7 linked regions of the Coturnix japonica genome follow. Each later gene encodes a partner of the first gene's protein in a complex. Links are inferred from orthologs where the notes say so. Each region holds a gene or a part of one and is shown in the gene's direction. Other genes may lie near its edges.

Region 1 (3,981 bases):
AAGGAGTATGGATCAGAGGAGGAGGTGTCACCCTAATGCCATGTTGCACTTGGGAGCAGCTTCTTGCTTTTCATGCATGATGTAACACACTTTAAAAGGAAAGGTTTTTTTCTTTAAAAAGCTACAAAATAACATGTGCTGGTTAACAATAAATGTGTGTCTTTAAATTTAGTGCTTCCAAGCTGTATAAAAAACAAGTAATCCTACTTGAGGACCAATTTTAAACTATTTTGTCACTTATTTTATATGGTTTGTTCAAAACCAGCCGTGAAACTTGCTTAAGGCGCTGCACATTGTTTAATATTTCCTGTAAGTACAGCTGTATATTCAGATTGCAGTTATAAAATGTAAATGGGGGGAGAAACGTGTAGAATCTTAGAGCTAGCACAGTTGTTGTTACTGAGGTTAGAACACAAAGCACTGATACTCCAGTGTTTCACTGTGTTGTGACTGAAACTGTGTACAGACTTTTGCAGTTATCTGTTCATTTTAACCTTGAATGTTGCTGGAGGCTTCTGGTTCTATGTGAGCATAACCTGCACATAAACATCAGTACTCACCATGCCTCTGTCTGCTTCTCGATGCTGTGCTGGGAATACCAATTGGTGGTTAACTGGAAACTCCTCTCTGACTTCATTTACCAGTGTCACCTCTGTCATAGACTCAAAGTGCAGGAACACCATAAACTCAGTATGTAATGGTTCTTACGGCTCTCGGGCAGCTGCCCTCTCAAACTTGGTTCTTTGCGGTTTGTTTAAAGCAAAACATAAAATAACAGATTTCATGTGGAAAAGAAGAGCTGTGGTGTGTGTGTAGGGATGGAGGGAGAGACGTGGGTTAACGTGGGTTCTCAGAGCTGGAGGGCAGCCAGATCTCAGTGCTTTACAAAAAGAGTCTGTATTGCAGAAATCACAACAGTGTACTCATCAATGATAATAAAAGGTCTGATTTTTCTAGATCCTGGCCGCTGCGTTTGTGTGCCTGAGCTCCTTATCAACTGCTTAACGTAGAAGCATCGCTGGTGCGGACTAGACTATTTGCACACAGCTACAGTGCTTAGATACGTATAATCCCGAGCCCACCATTCCAAAATGGCGGCAGCGCATCCCCTCAGTGCCCGCCCGCCCTCAGCCCCGCGCAGTCGCGCTGCGTCCCGCCCCTTCCGCCGCGCCGCTTCCGCCCATTGATCGCAGCCGGCGGCGGCCGCTCAATCTCTCGGGGCTCGGTGCGCTCGTTGGAGGCCGCGTTCCTGTCCGCCCGCGCTCGCGGCGCTTCCGCCGAGGCCTTTTCGTGCCCCCAGGGGCGGCCGCCGCTGCCCGCCGAAAGCCCCGCGGCCGCCGCGCCGTCCCGCCGGCGCAATGAAGCTCGTCAGGTGAGCGGATGGAGGCGGATCGCGGAGAGAGGCGGCGGGGAGCCCGCGCAGGCCGCCTCCCCCTCCCCACACACAGGCCGCCCGGCCTGTCGGGGCCTCGTTGCGGCCTGGGCTCTGCGGCGAGCGGCTGGGCCTGCGAGCGGGGCTGCCCGGGAAACCACCCCGGGGGGTTGGGGGCGGAGCCGGGTGGAAGCGCCTTCACGCGGTGCCGAGATCCAAAATGGCTGCTGCTTAGCTGGTGGTCAGAGAGCAGCCCGAGTTGGACGGGATGCACGAGGGATCCCGAACCCAACTCACGCAGGGCGCTCAAAACACAAACCCTGTGACTGGAAGCGTTGTCCCGACGCTGCTTGAGCCCGGTGCCACCGTTTCCAGCCCCTGGCAATTGGGCGCCGTTTGGGGCTTTGGCTTTGCCCCATGGAGCACCTTCAGTGCAGTTCATGGCAGCTGAGAACGTTTGCGTTAGGATGTACATCGATCGGTTCCCCGTATCAGCATGTGGTTGGACATAAGGCTTAGTGTGACAGCAAACACTCTGTGCTTAATTCCTAGGTTTCTGATGAAGCTGAGTCACGAGACTGTGACCATCGAGCTGAAGAACGGGACGCAGGTGCATGGCACCATCACAGGTACGGTGTGCCAGCAGCCTCCCAGGCTGATCTGAGCTGTGTGGGGTAAAGGAAACCGGTGCTGGCGTGGCTGGTGTAAGTGTGGTAATCTGAAATTACTGCAGCAGCATGCAGGCATTGTGAGACAGTGTCACTGCTGTATCAAAGGGCAGTGGTCATACAGCCTATCCACTTATGTTTCAGAACATTTTGGGGCTGGAACTTGAAGGTCCCTTCCAACTTAAACCGTTCTGTGATCTCATTGGTAAAGCTGCAGTACACTGTAGTTGCATCAAGAAGTCACCACTGAGTCACTGGCAGAGAGATATTTTTCTAACGGTAGCACAGATAAATGGTAAATGCTGAACATGGTTACAATCTACTGAGATGTAAGGGTTAAAAGCACGTTATTTTGCAGCCAGATCCGTCCATTTTGTTAGAAGCTGGCTGTGGTGGCAGCACTCTGTGCCTCCTACCCTTGTACTCTCACAGCCTTCGCTGTTGAGCAAAGTCTCTCTCATGCTGTGCTAAGAACCTGTAAAACCCTGCAGTGCCATCCATGGTTCTAAAATGACAGTCATCCCTGTACATGGGTGTACGAAGCCTGTTGCAGCCACGGTGCCACCTGCAGTTGGTGCTTCTGATGCTGATGTTAGATGTGTTTGATCAGAAGATCATGGTTGTACTTAGAAGGAAACGCAGTGTTATTTTTCTACTCAAAAGTTCGTTTTCTTTCTTTTGAAAGGAGTAAAAAAGACAAATATTATGCTTTTGTAGTAAGTGGCAGTTTATTTGTTGTCCGGAGGAATCATTTTAAGTGTTTAGTGTTGCTATGACTTAAGACCTAGGAACAGATCCCTACAGCTGGTGGTAAGTGGCTCTTCCTTTGGAAATATATCAGTGTTGAGGGCAGCAGCTGATAAATCAGCATAATTAATAGAGGAAAAAAAGATGTAGTTTCTTCTTCCACTTAAGAGGCTTAATTAACAAATGGCACAGATCCAGAAGCGTGTGTTAGCAAAGTCTTGAAGCACGTGCACAGTTAATAATAGCCAAAGAGGAGTCATCCTGTGTGTTCCCACCCCTGAAATCAGCCTTGTGTTATTTCAGGAGTGGATGTCAGTATGAATACTCATCTCAAGGCTGTGAAAATGACGCTGAAGAACAGGGAGCCTGTACAGCTGGAGACATTGAGCATTCGGGGGAATAACATCCGATACTTCATCCTACCAGACAGTTTGCCCCTGGACACCTTGCTAGTAGATGTTGAACCAAAAGTCAAGTCCAAGAAAAGAGAAGCAGGTGAGTGCATGATTTCCCAGTCTCTGCTTGTTTTACTTTGTGTTTTCGTGCTCTCGCTCTGAAGGCATGTGATTGGAAATCTTAATTTCTGTATTGCTTTCATCTCTGAGGGTTTGTACCGAACTCTGCCTTGTGTACCTTCATTGTGTCTGTAGTCTCCTTTCATGAGAAGTTATTTACACAGCTTCTCATGCATCTGTTTTAAAGTGTAAACGTCTTTAAGTGTGAGTAAATCTTAACCTATGGCATTCTCAGAGGCAGCACCAATGGGATGCACAGTTTCTCTTTTCAAAATGTCTGCTCTGTTTCCCTGGTTTCTGTGTGTAACTTTGTATTTAGCCTAATAAGAAAATATAGAGCAGCCTCAGGAGCGGTGCTGGACTGAAATCTCACTTGGCAGTGGATACAAACAATCTGCTGGAGAACCGAATTGAAGGGGCTTCAGAATGCAGAGGGAGCTGAGGCTGTGTTCCTGTGGATAAAGCCCTTAAAGCCTAACAGAATAGGGAATGCTTCTGGTTTTGTTCTGCGCCGTTAACAATTAATATCCAGTAAACTCCACAAAGTTTGTGTCTTCAGGCAGTAAAAGTTTTGCCCAGCAGTGTTAATCAGTGTGTCTTTCCAGAAATAAGTTAAAGGTAATCGTGCTCTAAAGCAACTGCTTGCCATTTCTCCTGTAATTTATGCTTAATTATTTGG
Region 2 (4,077 bases), on another chromosome or scaffold:
TTCATTTGCTAACTCAATAGTTTAAATAGTGGGGAGCCTACTTAAAGTTCAGATTCTCAGGTCTTTTTTTCTGAGAATTTGGATGTACAAAGTCGAGACGATCCCTTTCTTTTCCAAAGGTGTAATGACTCTGAAGTTGCCACCCACAAAGAGAAGAGGTGGAGCTGTTGATCCTGCTGTTAAAGAGCGCATTTGGCTCACTGTCCACTGGCCTTGTGGTCGTCCTACAGAAATTGTATCCAGCTCTTTTGGGTAAGTAGGAGACAAAGCAAGTAAAATTAATTGTACATTAATTCATTGATATTTAAAGAACAACTGGCAGGAAACACTGACACCCCCATCTTCCTCCCTTCCTAGTATAGCAAGATAGAGGACAGGCTAAGAGTGTAGGGGAAGTTCAGTCTTCTAGAAGGCTGTTATTTGCCCCACAATTCATTTAATAATCTAACTGAATACTGACTGCTAATGGTACTATTTGTGGTTTTTGCCCATTTAATGGAAGCAGTTGACATTTCCACTTCCAATGTGATTAGGAATGGATATCTGTAGGGTAGTTTTATCTCTGTAGAGGGACGTGTAGTGCATGTGTGTCTATCTGTATTACTCTCACACTTGCAGTATGTGCGTGAGCGCTGATATGATTTTTTTGAAGTGAAGAATGAAATATACACACTTTACGTTTCACAGAGGAGAACTGCTACACTGGGATTTAACTCAACCTGGAAAACGCAAGTGGACACTAATGGGATCTTCAGAAGGGCAAAATCACTCCCGTATTGTGTTCAATTTGTGTTCCCTGAAGCATCAAGACAAAGAGCTGCTTCTTTCCATTTCAATGGACAGAGATGTAAGAACCCATTTTAAAATTAACATCAAAATAGCAGCGGCAGTTCAGTTTGACTGAGTGAAACTAGCACTTTGATGACCACACATTTTCTCCTAAAGCAGGCTTATCCCTGCCCTTTATAACATCATGGCTCAACATTTCTTCTGAGCACAAGTTGTGCATTTCTTTGTTAGCATGTAAGCTCAAGCTTTTACCTTGGAGGACAGAATGGTTATGCCCTCTGGACTTGAAAAATCAAACGTTTAATAGCTGCCTTTTTTGTGGGGGGAGGAAGGGTTGTTATGGTTTGGTTTTGATTTTTACAGGCAGCACAGTGCCTCCTATTTTGAATTTAGAAGAGGACCATATAATTAAACCATAGCCCTGTTCCATCGCAGTCTTGCAGTTAATACAGCTCTGTCTTTGACTCATACTGACACGTGCATACTCTGAGTCTTCCTCTCACTTGTGCTTTGTTTTTCCCCCCCCATCATACCAGTCACTTTATCATTCGTTGTTCCTTAAATATTCTTTAGATAAAGTGCTGGGACCTATCAACTCTAGATTGTAGCTGGACAATGCCTTCACTTGGGGGATTTGTCTACAGTCTCGCCTTCTCCCCTGTGGACCCAGGCTGTCTTGCCATTGGTGTTGGAGACAGCATGATCCGCGTTTGGAATACTTTGTCTATGAGCAACATCTATGATGTGAAAACCTACTGGCAAAGCATAAAATCCAAGGTTACAGCAGTAAGTGTGCTTTACATTCCCCTTTTTTCTTGTCTCTTTTCTCACTCCATTTTTCTCTTTGAGGAATGTTTTTCTCTCACACTGAAGAAGGTTTTTTCCTAACTAAATCCTATAATGCCGAGTTGTTACTTCTGCTCTCAATTTGCATGATATAAATTTTAGAATTGATCAGCATTTTAGACATTTTTAGAACAGTAGGTATTTACAGTACACATACTGAAAATCAGCTGAAGTTTAGGTGGTTATTGCCTCACTTTCTTGGTTTTGTAAACAACTGTGATCATTCCTTGTGTCATCCACAGTTTCCTTTTGTTTGCTAGGAAGTTTAACATGTAGAAAAACTGGCACTGATGCCTTCAGTTTGAATTTGAACAGCAATTGGCTAAATACTAACATCTAGTAAACGATGGCAGCATTACAACATGTTAGTTGATCACACCAAAAGTATGACTCTATGTTGTAATGTAGCAGTCAGGTAGCATTTCAATGATTTCAGTTCCTTTCCTCTTGTCCCAGTAACTGTTAAGGGAAGAGTCCTTGATTCACATCACAATGTGGTTAAATTGAGTTGCTGTAGTTAGCATGGTGAATATAAGGGACAGTGCTTTTGATTTCAGTGCTTAACCTGTTGTTTATTATTTAAAAATAAATTGTCAATTCCTTTTGTCATTATGGGGCTCTTTGTACTTTTCTTGCAGTTAGCATGGCATCCAACTAAAGAAGGTTGTTTGGCTTTTGGAACAGAGGATGGAAAGGTTGGCATATTTGATGCCTTATCCAGCAGGTAAGAAAGTAGTTTTCAGATTCATTAGTATTCGATCTTGCTGGTATGGCAGCACACATAGATGACGTGGTCTTTCCTGAGGTTTACATTTGATATTTGTTAAAAGTTAAATTTAAAGTAGTCAGATGTATTTTAAGTGTATCTTTTCATCTGTTCCTTGTGACTGGCAGCTCTTAAAGAAACCTTACTCAAATTGTGTAACAGTCACCTGTTGGAAGTCATCAGTCAAGGATGAGTTAAGCCAGAAAAAGTTCCATAAAATGAGCAACATGCAGATGCAATTCATTAGGACAGTTTTGTTCTGATTTTAGTAGTGTTCTACAGGAAGCATCAAAGGCTTGGCTGAGCCATTGCTTTAGTATTTTGAAGCACCTGTCGTCTGTTTTCACTACTGGAAATACATTAGTTTGAATTTTGGGTTTTTTTTTTTTTTTGCTTGTTTTGGATTTGGTTTAGTTTCAGTTTGGTTTTGTTAGGGGTTTTATTCTGTATTTCCCCTTGCTGCAATCAGACTACTCCTGTTTCCTTACCTTCCTGCACAGTGCTAAGAATAAGCCCCCACAGATCTCCAGTACTTACCACAAGAAGACTGTATACACATTAGCCTGGGGACCTCCAACTCCTCCACTATCTTCTGGTGAGTGTTATAATGTCTTGTTACAAAGTAGAAATCCATACAGAGCACACAGATGCCACAAAGTTGGTGTGCTTCCCTTCCTTATGGATGTGAGCTCCATCTGCTTGGTAGCAGTCCTTTCTATCCACTAAGGATGCGTTCTGCCTGAGAAACTGGTAACAGTTTTGCCAAGGGAGCAAAATAATCTGTTCTGTATTTTGAAAGGTTCGGGAAGTGGATGGGAGTAGAGCACAACACCACATAGTTACATGTTTGTAATGCGCTGAAATAGCTATGTAGGCTCTCCACAATAATTGGTTAGGATCAAGTACAGATTATTTAGCTCTAACTGTTTTTCTGTCATTAAAACTAAACAGAACAGCTCCATTTGTCTTTTATGCAACCTGGGGGGGTTTATTGGCCAGGATTTAAAGGGAGTTTTAATGTGTGCAGCAATTGTGCTATGGAGAATGAATGAGGGGTCCTTTTAGGGAATTGTATTTTGAGAATTTCTTGCTGCCAGATCTCAGAGAATCAAAGCATACATACAGCATTTTAAAATACTGTTTTGATTTATAGTAAGAATAATTGCTTTTCCTAAGACTGACGAAGAGCATAGTATACTTAGATTTTTTTTTCCTCTGTTGAGTAGGAGAAGAAGGTGAACATCCCTCTGTAACTTTATATAGTTGTGCTGGAGAAGGTATTGTTTTTCAACACAACCCTTGGAAACTTAGTGGAGAGGCAAATGACATCAACAAAACCATCAGAGACACTAATTCAATTAAAGTGAGTATGATTCTTGCCTTTTTCTATGGATTTGTGGTTATAGTTCTGTAGCCCATAGTTGTAGGCTTTTGAAGTTTCTTGGAACATGCAGAACTTACTAAGGAGCATAAGGAGGTGGAACAACAAGGTCCTTTTGGAATCAAGACATTTCATTTGACACGTTCCACTGCGCTGGATGTAGCCAGTGATTCTTCCATCATCTTGCAGTTCATTCAGTCCTCAATTGCCCAAACTTATGTCACTACTACAAAATGCAGCAGACACTTGGGTGGCTTTTGTTTTGCAGACTAATTGTAATTCCTAGTTGCCAGTT
Region 3 (4,077 bases), on another chromosome or scaffold:
AGTTACAGTCTTGTGTTTATCTCTACGGTTACTTCTGCTGTGATAAATGTTGTCAATATTTAGCTGTGCATACAGAATCGTTTCGATTTGACCAAGTAAGAGGAAAAAACCTGGTTTGCTGTGTGGAGATTTGGACCTTTTAGATTGTCCTCTTCTCCTGTCAGTCATGGAGCCTTCTGCTCCAAACTAAGGCTCATGAATAACTTCCCAATGTATGCACAGACATGGGAACCCACTGCATTGGCAGAGTTCTTGTTTTTGTTGCTTTTGTTTCTTCCCCAGTGATAAACGGCTCCGTCTCTTTGTCAGGTCTTCATGAAGTCTGTGAAGTTGGAATGGGTGCTGGGAAACATTGCTGCGGCACAGGAGCTTTGTGAGGAAGCCCTGAAACACTATGAGGACTTTCCCAAACTGTGGATGATGAAAGGACAAATCGAGGAACAAAAGGAGCTGGTAGAGAAAGCAAGGGAGGCTTACAATCAAGGGGTAAGATGCATGTTATTGTAAGCTTGCTTTGTGCTTGTGATATGGACAGATGTCTGTCTTCAAATCAGGATGGAGAGGGCTCTGTCCCATATTAACAGTGGAGGTGATTTCTCTCCCTGTCATTGGTTAAAACAGTAAGAGAAAATTATTAGGGTGTTGAAATAAGCAGTGAGAATTTATCTCTTAGCTGGTGTGTGTGTGCAGAATTCGCTTTCTTGCTTGAGAGAGTTTGCTGTATGCTTGACTACTCACTAGCAGGAATGAAGTCATTACACAATAATTCTCTAAGACCTGCAACGACTAAACAGCAGAACTTCTTAACAGAAGACCCTGCTAATAAGGTTAGGTAAACACTGTAAAAGGAGATTGTCTGCTGAGTACTCATGTGTCTTCTAAATGGTAATTGGCGTCCTGTAGGAATGCTCCTGAAACTCATCTGCCCTGCAAGTAATAGGGAAGCAGGTTTCTGCCGGTGTCTGTATCCTAATGACTTTGTGAGCTTCAAGGGCAATGCGTTTCCTGCGTACTCTGCAGGTGTGATTTTGTTATTTATTAGAGCTCTCCATCTCTAGATGGAGCACAGGTCATAGATGTACTGTTAAGGGAGGTGTATTCTTTCTTTTTGCTTGGCATTGAGGAAGTTTAGTCATAGTGGTGTTCTTGGTGTTTTGGTTATAGGAGAAACTAGATTTCTACTGTTTTAGTGCTATATGATTAACTAGGAGAAATCTGAGAGATGTGGTCACTTATCTCACTTCTGAACTCCTCAGAAAGATTCAAGGAAGGGATTCCTTTTCTATGGGGGTTATAATGTTTTCAGATCTGCATAGTAACCGTACCTTTTGTTATCATATTAAACAGCTGAAAAAGTGTCCCCATTCCATCCCTCTGTGGCTTTTGCTGTCCAGACTGGAAGAGAAGGTGGGACAGTTGACCAGAGCAAGGGCTATCTTGGAAAAGTCTCGCCTAAAGAATCCAAAGAATGCGGATCTCTGGTGAGTTGTGTAGACGTGAACTTAGTTTGAGCTGCAAGATCGATGCATGCATGAGGTATCTCACACCTCAGTTATTTGATCACAGAACTTATGAGCACACCTATCCTAGCACTTCTTCTGAAGAAGGGCTCTGGAGATTCTGGCTGCTGTGTGGCTACTCTGAGGAGCTGGGGACCTGTTGTTTCTTTACAGATAGTTGCAGTGTAGAGAACATGAAAATCAAGGGGTCTTTTGTTTCTATCATAGGTTAAAAATGATATGAGAAATGGACTAGGCCATTGCAAAATGTGTTTTTTAATGGGGAGGAATGGGAAGAAGTCAGTAAGGTGCATGTGTTCATATGGGCATGTTTGTAATTTCCAGTGACTTTCATGTGACTCAGAGTTGATTTGTGTTACAGAGTGAATGTGTTACAATAAATATCATCACTGGGTTTCTTTATTACCAGGTTAGAGTCTGTGCGACTGGAGTACAGAGCTGGGCTGAAGAACATTGCAAATACTCTGATGGCCAAGGCCTTGCAAGAATGCCCTAATTCAGGTGAGCTGGGTGTCATTTTGATCTTAAACCTGGTTATGTGTTTGCTCAGTTAGTAAAGGATTATCTTTATCCAAGATGGCCTTTCTGGCCATGTCTCAGAATAATGCATTTTAGAGAAGTGACAGCCATTCTCCTGCAAAGGGAGGGTTGGGGGGGGCTTTGTGAATGATCCTGGTTACTTTGTAGTGCTTCACACTGAAGGGAACATGGGTTGGTGTTGGCATCATCGATTTTGTGGTCCACAGTTTGTCAAGAGGTTTCATGCAAAATAATCATGGACATGGGTGGCTTTTCTCTGAGGCTGGTAGAAGTCTGTGCCAAGGTTTAAAACTGAAGAAAGACTCTCAAGCTTTTGTAATTAGGGAGTTTGGTGGAAAAAGGATGTTTTTTCCCCTGTCTCATTGGGGTATAATTGACCATAGGAGACTTCCTGTTGTTGGTTTGCCCACACTGATTGCACTACTAATGGGTTTTGATTATTTTAGCTCATCATATAAGCTCTATTTGCCTTTCCTTAACGAAGTTGGTTGGTTCTAACCAGCAGTGGAAACATTTGCCTCTTGGGATGGGAGGAGAAAATGGAAGTTTCCTTTCTTTTTTTTCCTTTTTGACAGAATTGTGGGAAGGCTTTAATTCTTTGAACGTGTTGACATCTTTGGAGAGATGTCACTTCAGTAGAAAGTGTGGTAACCTACCACAGGGCAAGTCTTTTTAGTTTGCCTTCAGGCTGGTTTTGAAAGGTATTTAGTTGATGACTGCTTAAGTCACCCCAGTGAAGTAATGGGAGTTAAGTGACTTTTATGGCTTGATCAACTCACTGCAAGCTGCTTGCTTTGTGAGTGGGCCAACAAAGTAATACCAGCTTTATTTTATGAAGGACCTAACACTTGTTGTGTTTGCCACCTCAGGCTCTTCTGCAGATTCTGCCTGTTGCTATAGAAATAGGCAGTAAGATCTCAGATTCTGTTTAAATAAAATAACTCCCAACTCTTAAAAGTTTACAAACCAGGAAGAAAAACCTGCAGGATTGAGTTTGTTAGACACCTACAATTGTGTAAACCTGACCCGCGTCCATCAGTTGCTGATCTGATTACCATTGCTTGTGGCTGACATAGATGGCACAAAGGATAAAATCATGAACTGAAATACATCAGTGTTTGTGTCCTCAGCAGGACTGAAAATAGAGGTCTGTGAGAATGGTTTGACTCTATGTAAAGAGCAAATCTAGAGTTCTGCTGCAGTCTGTCACTGCTGTCATCTGAGTGTGTTAATTCCCATGTGCAGTTTATGGGAAGTGAGAGTGCTTTGATAGAGTCCTGGCAGACCCAAGCTTTCAGGCTTTGCCTTGAAGTGATCAACAGGTATGGTTGACTGGCGTTAGAAACTGAAGATTTCATGCTCCTCTGAGCATGTTTCCTTTCTTGCTTTTGGCAGTGAAAGGAACTAGGGATTAAACCCAGCTTTCCTGGCCCTACCGTGTCCTTCGTCATATGTGTGGAGAGCCAGCATCAATAATACTGTGGTGTTCTTTGGCACCTTTGAAACTGCTCCCAAGTGGTGTACTTTACACCTTGTGGGACTTCACCTGCCACTGTAGCTTTCCATTCAGACCAGCTTGTTGCTGCTTCTGAGTTCCCCTCTGCTGTGTGCGGTGTCTAATTGGAAAGGCTTAAGCTCTGTGCTCGTGCACACTGCTGTTGTGGTACAGAAACATTCAGAACTGAGGGTCCTTTGCTAAATTTCAGAGTATTGAATGAAGCATCCATGATGAAAGAGCGATTTGAGACAAGGTGGAGGTGCAGGGATAACTTCTGGGGTGGGCACAGTAGTGCTGCTCACTTCATAGAGCGCTGGCCTGATGATGGGGAGGATTAATCTCTGATTCACACTAAATCTTTCTACTTCACTTGATTAAGGAATCCTGTGGTCAGAGGCAATTTTCCTTGAAGCGCGACCACAACGGAAGACCAAGAGTGTGGATGCCCTGAAGAAGTGTGAGCACGACCCACACGTTCTGTTGGCTGTGGCCAAGTAAGTTCCCGTCCTGATGTAGTAA
Region 4 (3,974 bases), on another chromosome or scaffold:
TACCAAGCTAATTAATATTGATTTTAACCTAGTGAAGCTTTTTAAGTTTAGACAATTGGATAGATTCCTAGATTGAAATCTGTAAATAAAAGTCAGTAGTGTTTGAAGTAATTTTGCAGCTTCTAGTAAATAGAAATCCATGTAGATGACCAGAGTTCCTAAACTACTGCACAGTGTTAATTTATATTCTTATGTGTACTGAAATACTTGTTCTTATTTCAAGAACCTGATGTTGTCAGTGGGCATACTTCTGGTATTAAAAAGGCTTTATGGAGCAGTGATGACAAACAGATTCTTTCAGCTGATGATAAAACTGTCCGGTAAGGAAAAAAAAACCAAACTTCTAGTAGTTTTCTCTGAAGCTCACTTTTACTTATTGTGTACAGTTTCTGTCAGAGGATTGTTATTTCCTTGGGAAATAGTAATAAAGGCTGTTTGATTCTAGATTAGAATATGCACATGTAATCCAGTTTTTCATGTTGTTGAAGATATAATTTTTCTGTTAATTCTGATTTGCACCATAAACGTGTCCTCCCTGATAGGAAGAGGTGGTCTCTGATAACCGAATAGTAGAATTAATTTGATTTTTCTAATCCTAGAGGAAATTAAATTCTAGGTGAGGTCTTGTGAAGACATGCTGAAGTGTCTCTGCCTTGTCTTCTGCAGTCAAGCCTTGAAACATGCATTGGGCGAGGGTTGGGATAAAAGGCAGGGAAGCCTCTCTGGAGACAGTGCCTTCTTAATAATCATAACTGTCTTTCTCTTCCATGTGGTAAGTTGAGAAAGCTTTTCTGGTTTTGTAAGATAGATCATCCCCTTAAATGTAGATGGGCTAAAGCCTAGACAGACTTGGCTGCTAGGGAGATGAAATGATAAAGATCCTTCCTCAATCTATGCTGGCCAAAAAAGAAGGAAGATGTGCCTTGCTGCTTCCACAACTTTCTGGTTGATGTGATCAGCATCATCTCATGTCTACTTGTCTCGTTATTCTTATATTTATGGCATAGAGTAATAGTGGCTTTCTGCTTTGTGGAAGGGCAGTAGATATAGAGTGAAATCACAGTTGCAGTCTCCTTGTTTCTGTTTTGGCTCCAATTCTTTTTCAGTTCCTTCATTCAAGATAGTCAAGAGACTGGTCTTTTATTTTTTCTCTGAATTTTAGAAATTGAAATAACAGCATTGAGTTATTTAATGAAATAAGAAACTCATAATTTATAGAATGGTTTGGGCTGGAGGGGACCGTTAAGAACATCTAGTTCCAACCCTCCTGCTATAGTCAGGGACACCTCCCTCTACACCAGGTTGCTCCCAGCCCCTTTCAGCCTGGCTTTGAATGCCTCCAGAGTGGAAGCATCCACAACCTCACTAGGCAACCAGTTCCAGTGTCTACCCTCAAACCAAAGAATTTCTTCCTAATGTTTAGTCTAAATCTACTCTCTTCCAGTTTAAAACCATTTACACTTGCCATGTTCCTATGTGCCCTTCTAAAATGTCCCCCTCCAGCTTTCCTGTTGGCCCTTTCAGGTACTGGAATGTTGCTGTAAAGTTCCTGTAGAGCATTCTATTCTCCAGGCTGAATAGCCCCAGCTCTCTCAGCATGTTCCCGTAGGGGAAGTGCTCTAGCCCTCTCATCATCTTGGTGGCCTTCCTCTGGTCCCACTCCAACAGCTTGATATTCTTATGCTGGGTGTCTCAAAACTGGCCACAGTACCTCCAGGTGAGGTCTCATGCAGGTAGTTTAGAGGGGCAGGATCACCTCCCTCGACCTGCTGGTCACACTTCTCTTGTGTTGAGTTTCATCAAATTACACTCCCAAATCCATCTCCTCAGGTCTGTTCTCAGGCTAAAATCTGCTCAACCTGTGTCTGTGCTTAAGATTGCTTCAACCCCAGTGCAGGACTTTGCACTTGTCCTTTTTGAACTTTGTGAGGTTAGTGTGAGCTCACCTCTCAAGCCTGTCTGGCTTGAGATGCATCCCTTCTCTCTAGTGTGTCAGCTGTACCTCAGCTTGGTGTCATCTGCACATTTGCTGCACTCAATCCTACTGTCCATATAATCTATAAAGATATTAAATAGTACCAGTCCCTGAGGAATGCTACTCGTCACTGGTTGGATGCTGAGCTGTTAACTGCAACTCTTGAGTGCAACTGTCCAGCCAATTCCTAATCCACTGAGTGGTCTATCCCTCAAATCCATTTTCTCCATTATGGTGACCAGGATGTTGCGTGGGACAGTTTGTTATAATTTAATTTGATTTTAGCTTAGATATTCCTTGCCTGCCTAGGCAAAATGCTAAATTATATTAAACGAGTCTATTAGTTTCTTAAATTAGTATTATATATATATGTTTTGTGTTAAAAAGGCAGAATGCAATCTTAAGCTTTGCTTCTAGAAAGCTGTAATGCTCAGGAGACATGTAATAAAGCTTTTTGTCTTTTAAGAGAATCCTTGAGTAGTTAAGCAGTATGTGTACTGTTTAATGTAGTTGATACGTTTTAAAAGTAGCAGTATTTTAATGCAAACTTGTCTTAATTCTCATGTAAGTAAAGCTAAGCAAAGCAAAGAATGCTGCTGAAAATCTAAAGTGTCTGTAGAATATTCTTTATTGGGGGTTTTTTGCAACCACAGCATGCCATGGGTGGAGGTGGAAACTGGTGTGTTGAATTGATCTGAGAATCTTTCTTCTTTCTGATTTTTCTTAAGCCTCTGGGACAGGAGTACCATGACCGAAGTGAAGGCGCTAAATGTTGCAATGTCTGTGAGCAGCATGGAGTATGTTCCAGAAGGGCAAATACTTGTGATAACCTATGGGAAAACTATTGCTTTTCATAGTGCAGAAACGTGAGTCTAAAACACAGAATCTTTTTGAGTTACGGGTTTGATTGTGAGTAAAACTGACAATACAAGGCCACGATCATGAAGCTGTTAGAACCCATGTCAGTAGATATCTTTGCCTACCATGTTGTCAGAGACAAGGTCTGAAACAACTATCCTTTTCTAACCTAGTGGTCCCCGATTGTCTGCAAGATGGTAGATTGTAATGGATCAGTACCATTTTCATGGTTCAAAGCTAACTGGAGTTGTCATTAAATAAGATTCTCATCCAGAGTTCAATTTAGTGCTTTAAGAGAACTAATTCATACAGTTTCTATGATGTTTTAAAGCAAGTTGCAGTCATAAATATGTGCCAGAAAGTAGTATGAAATATGTGAACTTATCTGTGTGCTTTGCTTGTTCTGAACTTGTTGTTTCAAAACTTTATGAGCTTGACTTGCCAGTGTTAAAAATTTGTTTCAGAAACTGCATGTGGGTGTCTTCTGTCTTTCTTAAAAGCAACTATGAATTGTAGAATCACAGTTCCTTTGCTTTCAGGACCTGCTTTAAAATACCTGTTCTTTCTCCTCCCTCAGTCTAGAGCAGATTAAATCATTTGAAGCACCTGCTACAATCAATTCTGCATCCCTTCACCCAGAGAAAGAATGTTTGGTTGCAGGTGGTGAAGATTTTAAACTCTATAAATATGACTATAACACAGGAGAAGAATTAGGTATGTTTGACTTCAATAATAAAAAACAAGTTTTGACAAGTATTAGATAGATGATGTAGCAGCTAATGAATTAAACTTGTAGAGCATGCTGTGCTGCGAACTTATTTGAGTACAAGATAATGGAAAGGTATGTAGTCAGTTAAGAGGATTTGTCCTTTGATAGTATACCTGATGTTACTCTTGAAGATCTAATTAAAACCTCCACTAAACAGCTCTGCAGCTACTGGGGGGGGGGAGGGAAAATGTTGAGTCATCCCATGCTGCTGCAATAGCAAACTATATGTTAACTTAAATGTCGTACTGTGGCATTCATTAATTATGTCTAATGAGTCACAGTTACTGGATTGTATTTTAATGCTAGCCATGTAAAATTTATTTTAAAGTGTGTTTTAATCTGTTGCTCCTATCTTCATTTAAAATTACGTAG
Region 5 (4,563 bases), on another chromosome or scaffold:
GGGATCAGTGGGGGACACTATAGGGGCTCTGGGGATGCAATGGGGATCAGTGGGGGGCACTGGGGATGCAATGGGGGGCTCTATAGGGGCTCTGAGAATTCAATAGGGATCCATGGGGGACTCTATAGGGCTCTGTGGATGCAATGGGGATGCAATGGGGATCAGTGGGGGACTCTATAGGGGCTCTGGGGATGCAATTGGGGGCTCCATAGGGCTCTGGGGATGCAATGGGGATCAGTGGGGGGCCCTGGGGATGCAATGGGGGGCTCTATGGGGGCTCTGGGGATAGAAAGAGGATCAGTGGGGGACTCTATAGGGACTCTGGGTATACAATGGGGATCAATGGGGGACTCCATAGGGCACTGTGGATGCAATGGGGGGCTCTATAGGGCCCTGGGGATGCAATGGGGGACTCTATAGGGGCTCTGGGGATGCAATGGGGACCAGTGGGGGGCACTGGGGATGCAATGGGGGACTCTATAGGGGCTCTGAGGATTCAATAGGGATCAGTGGGGGACTCTATAGGGGCAGTGGGGATCAATAGGGATCAATGGGATCAATAGGGATCAATAGGGATCAATAGGGATCAATGGGGAGCAATAGGGATCAATGGGGGACTCTATAGGGGCTCTGAGGATTCAATAGGGATCAGTGGGGGCTCTATAGGACCCTGGCTATACAAGGGGATCATTGTGTTGCTCTATGTGGGGCCAAACATGGTCCCCCCCCCGTCCTCTCTCACCTGTCCGTGCTCCGCCCTGAGGCCTCATTGGGGGCGGTGAGGCCGGAGGCCGCGGATCCACTGGGCCGAGCGGCGGCGGGAGGAAGGGGCGGCCTACCCGGAGGTGTTTACTGACACGGAGCTGCTGGTAGGAACACAGGCTGTACTGGAAGGACGAGCTGAAGAGCCCCGAGCGGGGCACACGGGCCGAGGACAGCGGGATTTGGTACCAGCGGAGCAGCCCCGCCCGCTGACCTCGTCGCGCCGACGTCCCGCGCAACATGGCGGCCATGGGCGGGCGGGGTGAGAGAAAAGGGCGGGCTCTCCTCAGAAAGGCGGCGCTACCAAGTGCGGCTACTAACGGCGGGATTGGCCGTTTAACTGCCGACAGGAGCCCGGCAGCCAATCGCGGCTCGAGGGTTCGACCAATCAGCGCGCGCGCTGAACGGGATTGGTTAAAGAAGAGAAGTGTCCCGCCCACCTGTGCTCTCAGCCAATCAGAAGGGGTGGAGAGTGTCCCCGCCCCCCACCTCCCGCGGTGCATGCTGGGAGCTGCAGTCAACGGGCCTCTGCCGCGGTGCATGCTGGGAGCTGCAGTCAACGGGCCCCTGCCGTGGTGCATGCTGGGAGGCCTTGTGCGGAACCTCTTCCGGGATCGGGCTGTTTCCGCTTCCGTTGTTTCCGCTTCCGCCGGAAGTTCAGCTCCAGGGCCTGTTCCCGTGCACGGCGGTGGCGGGGCGGCAACATGGCGGACGTGACCGCTCGCAGCCTGCAGTACGAGTACAAGGCGGTGAGTGCCGGCTCGGGGCCTGTGCGCGGTGGGGATGCCGGCCTCATTCCTCCGGGCCTTCCCCGTCTAACGGGGGCCAATATGGCGGATCTCGTATAGTGAGGCCTTGTCGGGCCTTGTGTGGCCTGTGGTGATTTAAACCGGGCCTGTTTGAAGCCGGGGGCTTTAAGAGATGGTTGGAGGTGCGGCCTGCGTCCCTTATGGGCGGTGGGGGCTGCTGGATATAGGGCTGTGGGGAGGATAATAGGGGCTATGGGAGGATATAGGGCTGTGGGGTGGGGGTAATAGGGGCTGTAAGAAGGATATAGGGCTGTGGGGAGGATATAGGGGCTGTAGGATGCTTATAGGGCTGTAGGATGCTTATAGGGCTGTAGGATGCTTATAGGGCTGTGGAGGGATATAGGGCTGTGGGGAGAATACTGGGGTATGGGAAGGGTAATAAGGGCTGTGGGGAGGGTATTGGGCTGTAGGAAGAAAAATAAGGACTGTGGGAGGATATAGGGCTGTAGGAAGGATATTGGGGTATAGGAAGGGTAATAAGGGTTATGGGAGGAATGTAGGGCTGTGAGAAGGATGTTGGGCTGTGGGGAGGGATATAGGGCTGTGGGGTGGATATTGGGGTATGGGAAGGGTAATAGGGGCTGTGGGGAGGATATAGGGGCTGTAGGATGGCTATAGGGCTGTGGGGGGGTAATAAGGGCCGTGGGGAGGATATAGGGCTGTGGAAGGATATAGGGCTGTGGGGGGGAAAATAAGGGTTGTAGGATGGATATAGGGCTGTGGGGGGGTGATAAAGGCTGTGGGGAGGGTATTGGGGTATGGGAAGGATAATAAGGGCTGTGGGGATGATATAGGACTGTAGGAAGGATATAGGGCTGTGGGGAGGATAATAAGGGCTGTGGGAGGATATAGGGCTGTGGGAGGGATATTGGGCTGTGGGGAAGGTAATAAGGGTTCTAGGAAAGATATAGGGCTGTGGGGAGGATAATAGGGGCTGTGGGAGGGATATAGGGCTGTGTAATAAGGCTGTAGGAACATAAAGGCTCCACCTGATGCATTGTGACCCCCATCCCCCCCCCAGAACTCCAACCTCGTGCTCCAAGCTGACCGTTCTCTCATTGACCGGACGCGACGCGATGAACCCACGGGTGAAGTGTTGTCCCTGGTGGGTAAATTGGAAGGGACGCGGATGGGAGACAAGGCGCAGCGCACCAAGCCACAGATGCAGGAGGAGCGACGGGCCAAGTGAGAGCTGAGCGGGGCCTGGGGGTGGGAGGGGGCTCTGAGGGGGCTGTGGGGCTTCAGTGGTTATAAGCAATGTGGAATCACACAGTGATGGAGGTTGGGAAAGAGCTGTGAGGTGATGGATCCCAATTGGTGCATACACCACTGAGTGGTGGCATTGAGTGGTGGTATCGTGTTGGTGTATGGTCAGATACCAACATATATGGTTGTTATATGTGGTTGAGTTGTGGGTCCTCAGAGCCCCCCCAGGTTCATCTCCTGCCCTGGTGCCCCCCTCCAGCTTATACCCAACACAACTTCAGTCGCCTTTGGCACCTCCAGGGTTGGGGCACCCACAGCTCCTCTGTTCCACCACCCTCATAGTGAAGAAGGTGACCCTAAATCTCCCCTCTTTTACCCCAAAGCCGTTCCCATATCCATCAGCCCATCCCCAAGCACCACATACACACACCTTTTGATCCTTCAGCATCCTTCACAGCTTTCCCAATGTAGAAATACTTCCCCTCGACCAAAACTTCCCCAATTCAACCCAGGGCTGGGGTCTCTTGTGATGCTGTGGGATAAAAGATCAACCCCCCCTCACTGCTGTGTCCTCCTTTGAGGCAGATATGGAGTTTCTCCTTTTCTCTCCAGGCTAAATAACCCCATTCCCTAAGCTGCTCATTGTAAACTGGCTCCAGACCCTTTGCAGCTTCATTCTCTCTCCTTGTCGGGAAGCGAAAAGTGAAAGGAAAAGGGCTAAAAAGGAGGAAAAACGGGGCAGAGTTTACCTTTATTTTTAACAAAGGGAAGGCCCACGCTTTGCTGTCCAGCATTACTGGGATTCCCTGCTTTGAGCTGCTATGGGTGCTCTCTGTTTGCAGGAGGAGGAAGCGCGATGAGGACAGACACGACATCAACAAGATGAAGGGTTACACTCTGCTGTCCGAGGGCATCGACGAGATGGTGGGGATCATCTACAAGCCTAAAACCAAAGAGACACGGGAGACCTACGAGGTGTTGCTGAGCTTCATCCAGGCTGCCCTCGGGGACCAGGTGAGGAGCTGGATGTGTGTGATGGGGGCACATCCATATCACAAGGGGGATAATATCTGTGCCATAATATCTGCCCCTATGGTGATCTCCTGCTTATGTGGCTGCTGGTTGTTCCCCAGCCACGAGACATTCTGTGTGGAGCTGCTGATGAAGTGCTGGCAGTGCTGAAGAACGAGAAGCTGCGTGATAAGGAGAGACGTAAAGAGATCGATCTGCTGCTGGGCCAGACTGACGACACCCGTTATCACGTGCTGGTGAACCTGGGCAAGAAGATCACGGATTATGGTGGTGACAAGGAGATCCAGAACATGGGTATGGACAGATTATGGTGACAAGAAGATTTAGAACATGGGTATGGGCACAGATTGTGATAGTGACAATGAGATTCAGATCATGGGTATGGGCACAGATTGTGGTGGTGATAAGGAGCTTTAGAACACAGGTATGGGCACAGGTTGCAATGATGATAAGGAGATTCAGAACATGGGTATGGGCACAGATCATGATAATGACAATGAGATTCAGAACATGGGTATGGGCACAGATTGTGGTGGTGACAAGGACATTCATAGCATGAGTATGGGCACAGACTATGGTAGTAACAAGGAGATTCAGAGCATGGCTGTGGGCAGACTATGCTGGTGACAAGGAGACTCAGAACATGGGTATGGGCACAGATTGTGATAGTGACAATGAGATTTAGAACATGGGAATGGGCACAGATTGCAATGATGATAAGGAGATTCAGATCATGGGTATGGGCACAGATTGT
Region 6 (4,697 bases), on another chromosome or scaffold:
GAGATGAAATGAAGCAGAGACATTTAATGCCTTCTTCACCTCTTTATTTAACACCATTGATGGGCCCTGGGATCTCCAGAGCTGAAGCACTGCAAGCAGAGGGAGTGAATGATAAACCCCAAGTTGACTTTGAACTTGTATGGAATTTGGTGCTAGAACTGAACCCAGTTTGGAAACAAGTGGTTGCAAATGCAAGAGTACTTTCAGGACCTGTTTGTGCAGTCTGTTCTGTTTTCTTTCTTTCTGGTTGCTTGACCTGAGCTCTGGGGTTGGTTTCTTTGTTGTTAAGGTTCAGATTCAAAGGATAGATTTATGTTTAGTAGTACTGTAGAGCTGAGGAGCCTGTAGTGGAACGGGGGACGCCTTCAGGTCCAAGGCTGTATGTTGAAATTGAGGGTCTGACATGCACATCCCCCTTTGAAAGTCTCTGTTGTTCCAGGACTTGAAGAATGCCAACTTCTCTGAACGGCAGCTCCAGAGTAAGGTGTCAGCACCACCTCCCCGTGCCAGGTATTGTGGGTTAAAACAAAAAGGAAGGGGGTGGGTTACTCCTTGCCTGTGGGAAGGCAGGAATTGGGCTCAGCCATGGCCCTGTGCTGCCTCGCAGAGGCGCACCGCGGCTGTGCAGGCGGCAAGGAAACAGATAATGCTTAAAGTGACTGAAGAGCTGAATGTGTTTTTAGTTTCCTACCACGGGAACCACCAGACTCCCTCAGCAGCCTGAAGCCTGTGCTCGATTCCAAGCCTGAAGGAGGAGCTGAGAGCCAGGACTCGTCCTTCTGCTTCTCCCCCTCTCAGCCTTCAGAGATCGGGTACCTGAACGTCGCCTCACCTGGAGACACTGCAACCTCCCAGCTGCAGGAGGAGAGTCAGAGCATCAGCTCCGAGAACATGTAACCTGGGGACGATGTAAAGTGCAGGCTGCCAGGATTCAGGCTCCTGTTGTCATACAAGATTGAAAGAGGGAGTGTTGGCAGATGATAATTGGTGATTTCTGTGGTATCTCAATTATTCAACAGCTGCTTTCTTTAATAATTAACATGGCCAACCTTAAAGGTGTGTGTGTATCTCAGCCCAGAGCTGCAATCTGCAGACAGACAAAGAACGGGGGTGGGATGAGATTTATTTCCCTTCATCTGCACTCCCTGCTTTCCAAGCTTCCTCAATAAAACATGGACCGGTTTCCCTGTGCTGGGCCGTACCGCCGGGTTCCTCCCTTCCCCTCTGCTCTGTGCTGAGACGGGAGCGGCTGCCCCCGTGTGGCTGAAGGAGAGACAGGCAGGAAGCAGTAACGGGATCCGCGGGGCTCCATTCACTCTATGGGGCTCCATTCACTCTATGGGGCTCCATTCACTCTATGGGGCTCCATAGAGCGCTGTGAGCTGCCCGACCCGCTCCCTCCGCTCTACACGCCGTGGCTGCAGGCGGTTCCACAGCCGCCATGTTGTCCCGGCCTCCCCACCCACGTAGATGACGGGATGACGTCACACGCACAATTTCCGCTCGTCAGAGCGTGCGTAGCCCCGCCTCTTTTGCCCCACTTCCGCTTCCGGTTGAGGCCACCATCATGGCGGTGCTGGCGGCCAACCCCAACAACCCGGTGGTGTTCTTCGACGTCACCATCGGCGGGCAGGTGAGCGGCACGACGGATCCGCTTCTCCGGGCCCATCCCCGCCTCATCGGCTTCTACAGGCCGCAGCCGCTCCCCTTCGGGCGGGTTTAGGATCCCCGGCGGTTACGGGAGGAGGAGCGGGGGGAAGAGGCCTGGCTGGGGGGCGGGGGGGTGTGTGGGAGCGGGGTGAGCCGGCCGTGTCTGTGTCTGTATCTGTATCTGTGTGTGTCTATGTCTGTGTCTGTATCTGTGTCTATGTCTGTATCTATATCCATGTGTGTCAATATGTGTGTCTATATCTGTGTTTGTGTCTATGTAGGAGGTTGGCCGCATGAAGATCGAGCTGTTCGCTGACGTGGTGCCCAAAACCGCAGAGAACTTCAGGTGAGGAGCAGCCTCTGTGAGCACGGTACCGTTATATCGTGATATAAACCTCCTGAGCTCGTTACATATCGCAGCTTTCTCAGTATCTCCTCAAAGCTCTGTTGTGAAATGGAAGCGTTGAGTGGTTCCCATTGATTCCTGTTTCATCCCCATTGCAATAACCCAAGTCCTGCACAGCATTCATTGTTGAATGCCGCCTTTGTGCTCTCAAAGTTCAGAAGTGGTTCATACTCGGCTTTTCTCTGCTGTTTCTTTTCCAGGCAGTTTTGTACCGGTGAATTCAGGTATGTGGTTTATCTTCTCCTTTTATCTACCATCCTCAGACAATACTGGGCTGGGAAAGGGCTCACTTGGAAGGTTTCCTTACCTGTGTGAAAAGGGGGGATGCAGATGTCTGTGCTGCAAATTGCAGTGGGATCCTTTTGAGCTGATGAAATGGATGCTGCAAACAGCTGTGGCCATTCAGGGTTTCCCTTGGCCTCTGGTAGTGTGAAATTAAGCTCCAGGATGGGCTGAAGGAGGTGGGTTGGTTTGGTAGGTGATGTATTAGGCCTAATGTACAGGGCGTCCCTTTGGGGGTGTGAGCTCCTGGGAGGGTTTTGTGTTGGGACTTACTGTGAGTTGTAATGATTTTCCTTTTTATTTCCTTGTAGGAAAGATGGCGTCCCCATAGGTTATAAAGGAAGCACATTCCACAGGTGGTACTTCTGCTTTTGTTGAGAGACTCAGTAGCAGTAGGTGGCTTTGGGACCTGCCTCAAGGGCTTCTGCTGTCTGCCCTTTGGGTGCTGTCAGATACTGTTAATGCTCACAGATTGTATATACTGCTCACTGGTCGTATATACTGCTCGCTGGTCGTAGGCTGTAGTGTTTGCAGACATTCACAAGACATTTTTCTCCTGGGAACTAAGTATCATTTTCCTCTTTTAGGGTAATAAAGGATTTCATGATCCAAGGAGGTGACTTTGTAAACGTATGTACTACCACGTTGCTTTTGTCTTTGTCCTGTGCTGTACAGCACACAGCTCATCCTTCCCATGTTTTCTCTCTCTTAGCAGTACGATGGTATAACTGGGGGCTTTTCAAACTTGCAGAGGTTTTCTTTTCACCCTGTTGTCCTTCCTGTTTCTCCCATCCCCCCAGTAAGAGGCAGAGAATCTCCACTGTATGTGTGAGAAGAGATGCTTAAGTACACAAACCAAGCAGCTATTCCAAGGGATAGTACAAATCAAGTCAGGCTTAGTTATTTCAAGTTCACGATGCAAAAGTAAACGCTGTGGCAGACTAATTGCCTCTCTTGTGCAGGGAGATGGCACTGGAGTAGCCAGTATATACAGGGGTCCTTTTGCAGATGAAAACTTCAAGCTGAAGCACTCTGCTCCTGGCCTGCTTTCTATGGTGAGTATAAAATGAAGGCTGATAGCTTTTGGTGTTTCCTCTCTGCACTTTTCCTAACTTTATACATTGTATTTGGCAAACAGTAGGAATCTGCAGTTGGCTGGGGGGTCTGAAAGGCCTGTGTTTTAAGTAGCAGTCAGAAGGTTGCTCGTGAAGTGAGTCCTGATCCTCCAGAATCCTTTCTTCTTACCTGTCAGAGTTCAGGAACACGTTTTATTTGCTCAGCTTCCATAAAGGCTTGAGGATTGCAGATCTGGTACAGTGATGAGTGATGGGTCTTTTTCTTTCCTTATGCCTCTGTTGAACACTGACCTTAGCAAGGAGGAAACAAAGACTGCGGAGTTTCAGAGCCACAGCAGTGTTAGTGTGAAATCTTTTATAACGTTATTTCCCCAGTGTGATGTTGTAGCCAGTAAAGATTTTGTGTACTTGCACACGGTAGCAGGGCCTGACTTGATAATGCACCGTGACCAAGCACAGGTGCTGTCCTGCAAATGTCTGTCTTGTTTCCTTTGGTTTGTAAAGCAGTGAGCTCAATAAAATGTATCCAGGTTAGAGCTAAAGCAGCAGCTCTTTCTGCTGTGAGATGTCTCTGCCTTCAGCTTTGGGAAGTCCTAATTTGTATGCTTTGCATTTTGACAAATTCAACCTGCAGGCAAACAGTGGTCCAAGTACTAATGGGTGTCAGTTCTTCATTACGTGCTCCAAGTGTGACTGGTTGGATGGAAAACATGTTGTGTTCGGTGAGTACCTGCCGTGCAGGCCTGGCATACAGACTCTTACACAGTTTCTGTGGCACAGGGTCAAAAATAAGCAGCTGTGGATTTGCTTGTTCCTTCCCCATCCATTGTGCCAGCAGAGCTATTTGTGCAGCCAGGTATTGAGATGCGTCATTAGGAACATTTTTTTCTCAGCTTAACTTTAATCCAGATCAGATCCTGGATGGTTGTATCATTGTTAGTATATAAATCCTCATGCCAGTGCAGGTGGGACAAGGGATGAAGGATGAAGGGATACCTTCATGAAGGGGCTGGCATCCAAATGGAGCTTTCAGCTGGGTTTGTAGGTATGAGATGTGCTTTCAGAGGATGACTGACTACTTGTACTGCCTCTAGAGCTGTAAGATTTCAAGGCCAGACCTTAAGCTCTTGCCCTTTTATCAGTTTAGAGAGCTGTGCCCAGGCCTCTTCATGAGGAACAGGAATTGTACGTGCTGGGGAAGGCAGCAGAGATTAAAACACAGCACTGAAGTGGGTGTGTTTTCTCCTTCTAGGTAAAATTGTTGATGGGCTGTTGGTAATGAG
Region 7 (4,077 bases), on another chromosome or scaffold:
GTGGATAGGGCACGTACCATTTATGAAAGATATATCCTTTTTAGTGCATTGTGTCTCCTATCCAAATTTAGGCACGAACTCTTTTGTCTCTATTCTACACCGCCTCCTTTTTACTGTGATGTGCTGGGAGTAAGCCACCATACTGAGAGCCAGTGGTGGGTCTTAAACACACGTTTAATAAGATGTCTCCAAATTTAGTTGAATGTACAAATCCTGCTCCAACAGGGAACATTTAACAGCACCCATGCCTCTAAATTATTTTGTAGGCATGATTTGTTCCAGTTTTCTCCTTTCTAGCCTTCTCCCTGCCTCTTGCCTGACTTTTATTCCCTTTATTAAAATTCAGATTTACAGTACTCAGCATGATACCTTTGCGTGGTCAGAGCTGCTTAATGTCTTCTTCCCAGTTGTGTTACTTGCATATGTCATTCTTAGGAGTTGTTTCACCTGTGCTCACTGGGAAGGATGCCATTTGAGAGATTCAATTCAACTGCTACTGTTTCTTTAACGTAGCTCTCTACTCGTTATTGTCCATCCTGATGTGAAAAACTGGATCAAGTATGCCCGCTTTGAAGAGAAGCACTGTTATTTTGCTCACGCAAGGAAAGTATATGAAAGGGCAGTGGAGTTCTTTGGAGAAGAGCATATGGATGAGCACTTGTATGTGGCTTTTGCGAAGTTTGAAGAGAACCAGAAAGAAGTAAGGCTGTCTTACATCAGACTGATGCTAACCACAAGATTTCTTTCTGAGTATCAGACTCAAGGTCCCTTAACATTCACTTCAGTGCTTGTGTTTTCCAGCAGCTTTGTGGTCTTACGTAGTCTGAGTTAAGGAATCAATCTTTTTCTTAGCTTATATTTGGCTTTTGGTGACTTTGAGAAAATATTTTCTAAGCAAAATAAGTGCCAAATATTCCCAGCCTCAGAATAATCCCATTCGATCTCATATGTGTCCTCTAGTATGAGACTGTAGATCAACTGTGTGCATAATGCAAAATAAAAGCTCTATTATCCATGATTTTGCAAGTAAGCAATTCAAAACATTCTGTGAACCCCAAACTGCAGACTCTTAAAAATACTTTAATTATTCCAAACCTATAAATGAGTAAGTGATAGTAGGTTTTGGTACTAACAGATCTTTCTTCTTTTCACTGTTACCCTCCAGGGAGATCTGTGTTAGTCCTGTCCTAAAAAGATAATATACACTAAATGTTGTTAAAGGATCATTTGAGATACTAAAATGTACATTATGGGGTAAGAGAGTAGTTGAATTCCAAATATAATTCAAATGATATTTAATGTTTTCAGTTTGAAAGAGTAAGGGTGATCTACAAGTATGCCTTGGATAGAATTCCAAAACAGGACGCCCAGAATCTCTTCAAAAATTATACCATCTTTGAGAAGAAGTTTGGAGATAGACGAGGTATTGAAGACATCATTGTCAGCAAGAGAAGATTCCAGTATGAAGAAGAAGTGAAGGTATGTATTATAAATATTCACTGGGCTCATCGTGGAGATAAAAACACTTTAACCCACCTCCCTTTCAAAGCTCTAGCTTAGTCATACTTGAGACAGTTTTTGCTGGTGTTTCAATGACTTGTTTTAAAGGGGAGATTCGGAATAAGAACTAAGTAATGGAAAAAGTTTTGTTATTTGCAGTTAATTAAATTTCTTTCCCATTTCTCTGCTCCTAACTTTCTGGAAGGCAAATCCACATAATTATGATGCATGGTTTGACTACTTGAGGTTAGTTGAAAGCGATGCTGATGCGGAGACTGTCCGAGAAGTATATGAAAGAGCCATTGCTAACGTTCCCCCAATTCAAGAGAAGAGATACTGGAAGAGATACATCTATCTTTGGATTAACTATGCGTTATATGAAGAGCTGGAGGCAAAGGCAAGTAGTAAGAACTCAGTTTTTTTTCTTTTTCTTTCTGAAGTACTTTTCTTACACAAAGTAGCTACAGGTACCTGCAGAGAACTGAGAGCAACAACAGTCTGGTTTGTTTTGTCATTAGCTTCAGGGTTTGCTGTTTAAGCATTTGCCCCCCTATACATACACCTTTATTTGTGTGAAATAGCACTTCCCTTGTATGAAGAGAAAAGCATTCGTTTTGCCCCAATTCATGTAGAAACTGACTGATAAAAGCAAAAACAGCTCTTTCTAGCCCTATCTGAATTTCCTTTTTCAGACTGTTGCCTGAACTTGTGCCAATACTGGTACAAATGGTATATAAATAGTATTAATAGGTATTATTTGCCTAATATAATAGGTATTTCTTCTGTTTTTTTTATCAGTTAGGTAGCAAGGTATTACAAATACAGCAGTATTACAAACAGCAGAACAAAACTATTAGTAAAGTTGTTCTGTGAAGCAGTCGAGTTCTTGGTACAGTTCCCTTTTGAGGCTTTGTCTAGTGTGTTACCAGTCATGTCACATAGCTACATTTGATTTCATAAAGTCATAGTTCAGTATAGCTGTTCAGTGTCCCATAGAAGGAAAAATATCTATATTTTTCCCCTAACTGATAACACTGATGGCTTTATAGGCTCATTCCTAATGAGACTTTTCTTTTAAAGAGAAGGCCCTTAATGACACTCAGAATTTACCATCTTTGAATTGTGCATACACATGTGTAGATAAATACCTAGGTTTTTTTAAGTATACATTATTCTAAATTCCTGTACTTAAAAAAATACAGTTCTACAGTTTGACAATCATTGTGTGATTCAAAATGGTGTAATTACCATAATGTGATCTGAACAGTGAATGAAGAATTGAAATTTTTGTTTAATTTTGTTTGTTCTTTCAGGATCCAGAGCGAACCAGACAAGTTTATCAGGCGTGTATTGAGCTCCTTCCACACAAGAAGGTACGGCTCCTCCAACAGTTCATATAAACTCTTACGTTGTAAACTGTAAGATATACAGTATTGGTAGTGTGAGTCCGTATGAAGATAGTGATGTCTTGTGAAGAACACATGCAGAATTATTTACTGAGCTCCCAACCCATGCATCACATTGTTCTTTTTCTTTCAGTTTACATTTGCCAAAATATGGCTGCTGTACGCACAGTTTGAAATAAGACAGAAAAATCTTCCACTTGCTAGAAGAGCTTTGGTAAGCTTTGGTTAATTCTCTAATTGATTTCCTTAACTAATAGTAACTAGGGAATGGCATGAGAAGATCTTAAAAATTGTCCTTTGTCAATTGCTGGTTTTAATCCACTTAAATAAAGCTTCCTAGAGATCTGCAGGGACCAGAATTTACTGTCATGTATGATTAAAGTAGTATAGCTTGATATGATGAGTTAGCCGCAGTCTGAGATGGATGCAGCTTTCCTGTTTCTGCTGGCAAAAGATGTATCTGAATACAGGAGTACAAATCAGCTTACTACTCTTAGAGAGCTTTAACTGCTGCTACTTTGTTTAAACAATACCTGTATTAGCAGTTGCTTTAAAAAAAAAAATCTAAATAAACAGGCATTTTTGATTCTCAGACATTCAGACTTTCATGATAACATTTGAATACCAGCTACTTGGTTGTAGATAGAAGCAATCATGGGGGCTTTGTGCAGGTGCAAGAGCTTCTGTGCAAATTTCCCTACCATGTCAGTGAATGATGGGATATGTTTTGGCAGCAAAAAAATATGAAATGGAAAAGACTGTTTTCCCTTCAGTTCAGTTACTCTGAGTAAGTTGAATGACAACAGTGGACTTTGGTTATCCTCCAGCATGCTAGTAAAGCTATATTTGTTGGGCTGGACTCCTGTCCTTGCCCAGGAAAAAAGTAAAGCAGAGGGATTAAATGAGACTTAAAATCTCGCTGTAGGAGAAGGCAACCATCTGTCATGAAACATGCTGTAGTTCTAGCTTGATTTGAAATACCCTCCTTCCATTCTAGAAAGGCTACTTTGGTCTCTGTTATAATAGTTCCTACAGTTTATTTTAGACTTCTCTTTTGCTGGTCTTTTCTCTATTGTTGTTTAATTTGGTAGATGTTTGTAGTGCGCTCATTATTTTTTAGAGTGGATTTTGTAGATGTGGCCATAGTCTTTCTAAGAATTGAGCCTAGATT

Evidence for each region.
Region 2: SNRPD1 (region 1) and GEMIN5 share a complex: the UniProt entries of both Homo sapiens proteins name them as parts of the SMN-Sm complex. The link is inferred for Coturnix japonica from reciprocal best matches to the Homo sapiens genes SNRPD1 and GEMIN5.
Region 3: SNRPD1 (region 1) and PRPF6 share a complex: the UniProt entries of both Homo sapiens proteins name them as parts of the U4/U6-U5 tri-snRNP complex. The link is inferred for Coturnix japonica from reciprocal best matches to the Homo sapiens genes SNRPD1 and PRPF6.
Region 4: SNRPD1 (region 1) and STRAP share a complex: the UniProt entries of both Homo sapiens proteins name them as parts of the SMN-Sm complex. The link is inferred for Coturnix japonica from reciprocal best matches to the Homo sapiens genes SNRPD1 and STRAP.
Region 5: SNRPD1 (region 1) and SNRNP200 share a complex: the UniProt entries of both Homo sapiens proteins name them as parts of the U4/U6-U5 tri-snRNP complex. The link is inferred for Coturnix japonica from reciprocal best matches to the Homo sapiens genes SNRPD1 and SNRNP200.
Region 6: SNRPD1 (region 1) and PPIH share a complex: the UniProt entries of both Homo sapiens proteins name them as parts of the U4/U6-U5 tri-snRNP complex. The link is inferred for Coturnix japonica from reciprocal best matches to the Homo sapiens genes SNRPD1 and PPIH.
Region 7: SNRPD1 (region 1) and CRNKL1 share a complex: the UniProt entries of both Homo sapiens proteins name them as parts of the minor spliceosome. The link is inferred for Coturnix japonica from reciprocal best matches to the Homo sapiens genes SNRPD1 and CRNKL1.

What each region holds. Positions count from the first base shown.
Region 1 is NC_029517.1:39,382,146-39,386,126, reverse strand, and holds the start of SNRPD1 (small nuclear ribonucleoprotein Sm D1), read left to right. Parts: upstream 1-1,181; 5' UTR 1,182-1,358; coding exon 1,359-1,372; intron 1,373-1,924; coding exon 1,925-2,001; intron 2,002-3,090; coding exon 3,091-3,282; intron 3,283-3,981. UniProt on the Homo sapiens protein: Plays a role in pre-mRNA splicing as a core component of the spliceosomal U1, U2, U4 and U5 small nuclear ribonucleoproteins (snRNPs), the building blocks of the spliceosome.
Region 2 is NC_029528.1:6,015,670-6,019,746, reverse strand, and holds part of GEMIN5 (gem-associated protein 5), read left to right. Parts: intron 1-119; coding exon 120-252; intron 253-687; coding exon 688-847; intron 848-1,362; coding exon 1,363-1,575; intron 1,576-2,273; coding exon 2,274-2,359; intron 2,360-2,771; exon of another isoform or gene 2,772-2,901; coding exon 2,902-2,996; exon of another isoform or gene 2,997-3,627; coding exon 3,628-3,764; exon of another isoform or gene 3,765-4,077. UniProt on the Homo sapiens protein: The SMN complex catalyzes the assembly of small nuclear ribonucleoproteins (snRNPs), the building blocks of the spliceosome, and thereby plays an important role in the splicing of cellular pre-mRNAs.
Region 3 is NC_029535.1:8,471,246-8,475,322, reverse strand, and holds part of PRPF6 (pre-mRNA-processing factor 6), read left to right. Parts: intron 1-309; coding exon 310-486; intron 487-1,347; coding exon 1,348-1,481; intron 1,482-1,929; coding exon 1,930-2,021; intron 2,022-3,937; coding exon 3,938-4,052; intron 4,053-4,077. UniProt on the Homo sapiens protein: Involved in pre-mRNA splicing as component of the U4/U6-U5 tri-snRNP complex, one of the building blocks of the spliceosome.
Region 4 is NC_029516.1:57,770,021-57,773,994, forward strand, and holds part of STRAP (serine-threonine kinase receptor-associated protein), read left to right. Parts: intron 1-223; coding exon 224-320; intron 321-2,703; coding exon 2,704-2,841; intron 2,842-3,410; coding exon 3,411-3,547; intron 3,548-3,974. UniProt on the Homo sapiens protein: The SMN complex catalyzes the assembly of small nuclear ribonucleoproteins (snRNPs), the building blocks of the spliceosome, and thereby plays an important role in the splicing of cellular pre-mRNAs.
Region 5 is NC_029537.1:1,057,725-1,062,287, reverse strand, and holds the start of SNRNP200 (U5 small nuclear ribonucleoprotein 200 kDa helicase), read left to right. Parts: upstream 1-1,377; 5' UTR 1,378-1,466; coding exon 1,467-1,511; intron 1,512-2,592; coding exon 2,593-2,756; intron 2,757-3,619; coding exon 3,620-3,791; intron 3,792-3,910; coding exon 3,911-4,103; intron 4,104-4,563. Other genes in the region: protein FAM178B, read right to left, coding at 743-1,013. UniProt on the Homo sapiens protein: Catalyzes the ATP-dependent unwinding of U4/U6 RNA duplices, an essential step in the assembly of a catalytically active spliceosome. Plays a role in pre-mRNA splicing as a core component of precatalytic, catalytic and postcatalytic spliceosomal complexes.
Region 6 is NC_029536.1:5,566,903-5,571,599, reverse strand, and holds the start of PPIH (peptidyl-prolyl cis-trans isomerase H), read left to right. Parts: upstream 1-1,498; 5' UTR 1,499-1,567; coding exon 1,568-1,633; intron 1,634-1,931; coding exon 1,932-1,996; intron 1,997-2,256; coding exon 2,257-2,280; intron 2,281-2,649; coding exon 2,650-2,694; intron 2,695-2,925; coding exon 2,926-2,968; intron 2,969-3,300; coding exon 3,301-3,393; intron 3,394-4,048; coding exon 4,049-4,136; intron 4,137-4,666; coding exon 4,667-4,697. Other genes in the region: CCDC30 (coiled-coil domain-containing protein 30), read left to right, coding at 440-510, 684-897. UniProt on the Homo sapiens protein: PPIase that catalyzes the cis-trans isomerization of proline imidic peptide bonds in oligopeptides and may therefore assist protein folding. Participates in pre-mRNA splicing.
Region 7 is NC_029518.1:3,884,586-3,888,662, reverse strand, and holds part of CRNKL1 (crooked neck-like protein 1), read left to right. Parts: coding exon 1-31; intron 32-521; coding exon 522-700; intron 701-1,308; coding exon 1,309-1,479; intron 1,480-1,705; coding exon 1,706-1,897; intron 1,898-2,813; coding exon 2,814-2,873; intron 2,874-3,039; coding exon 3,040-3,120; intron 3,121-4,077. UniProt on the Homo sapiens protein: Involved in pre-mRNA splicing process. As a component of the minor spliceosome, involved in the splicing of U12-type introns in pre-mRNAs.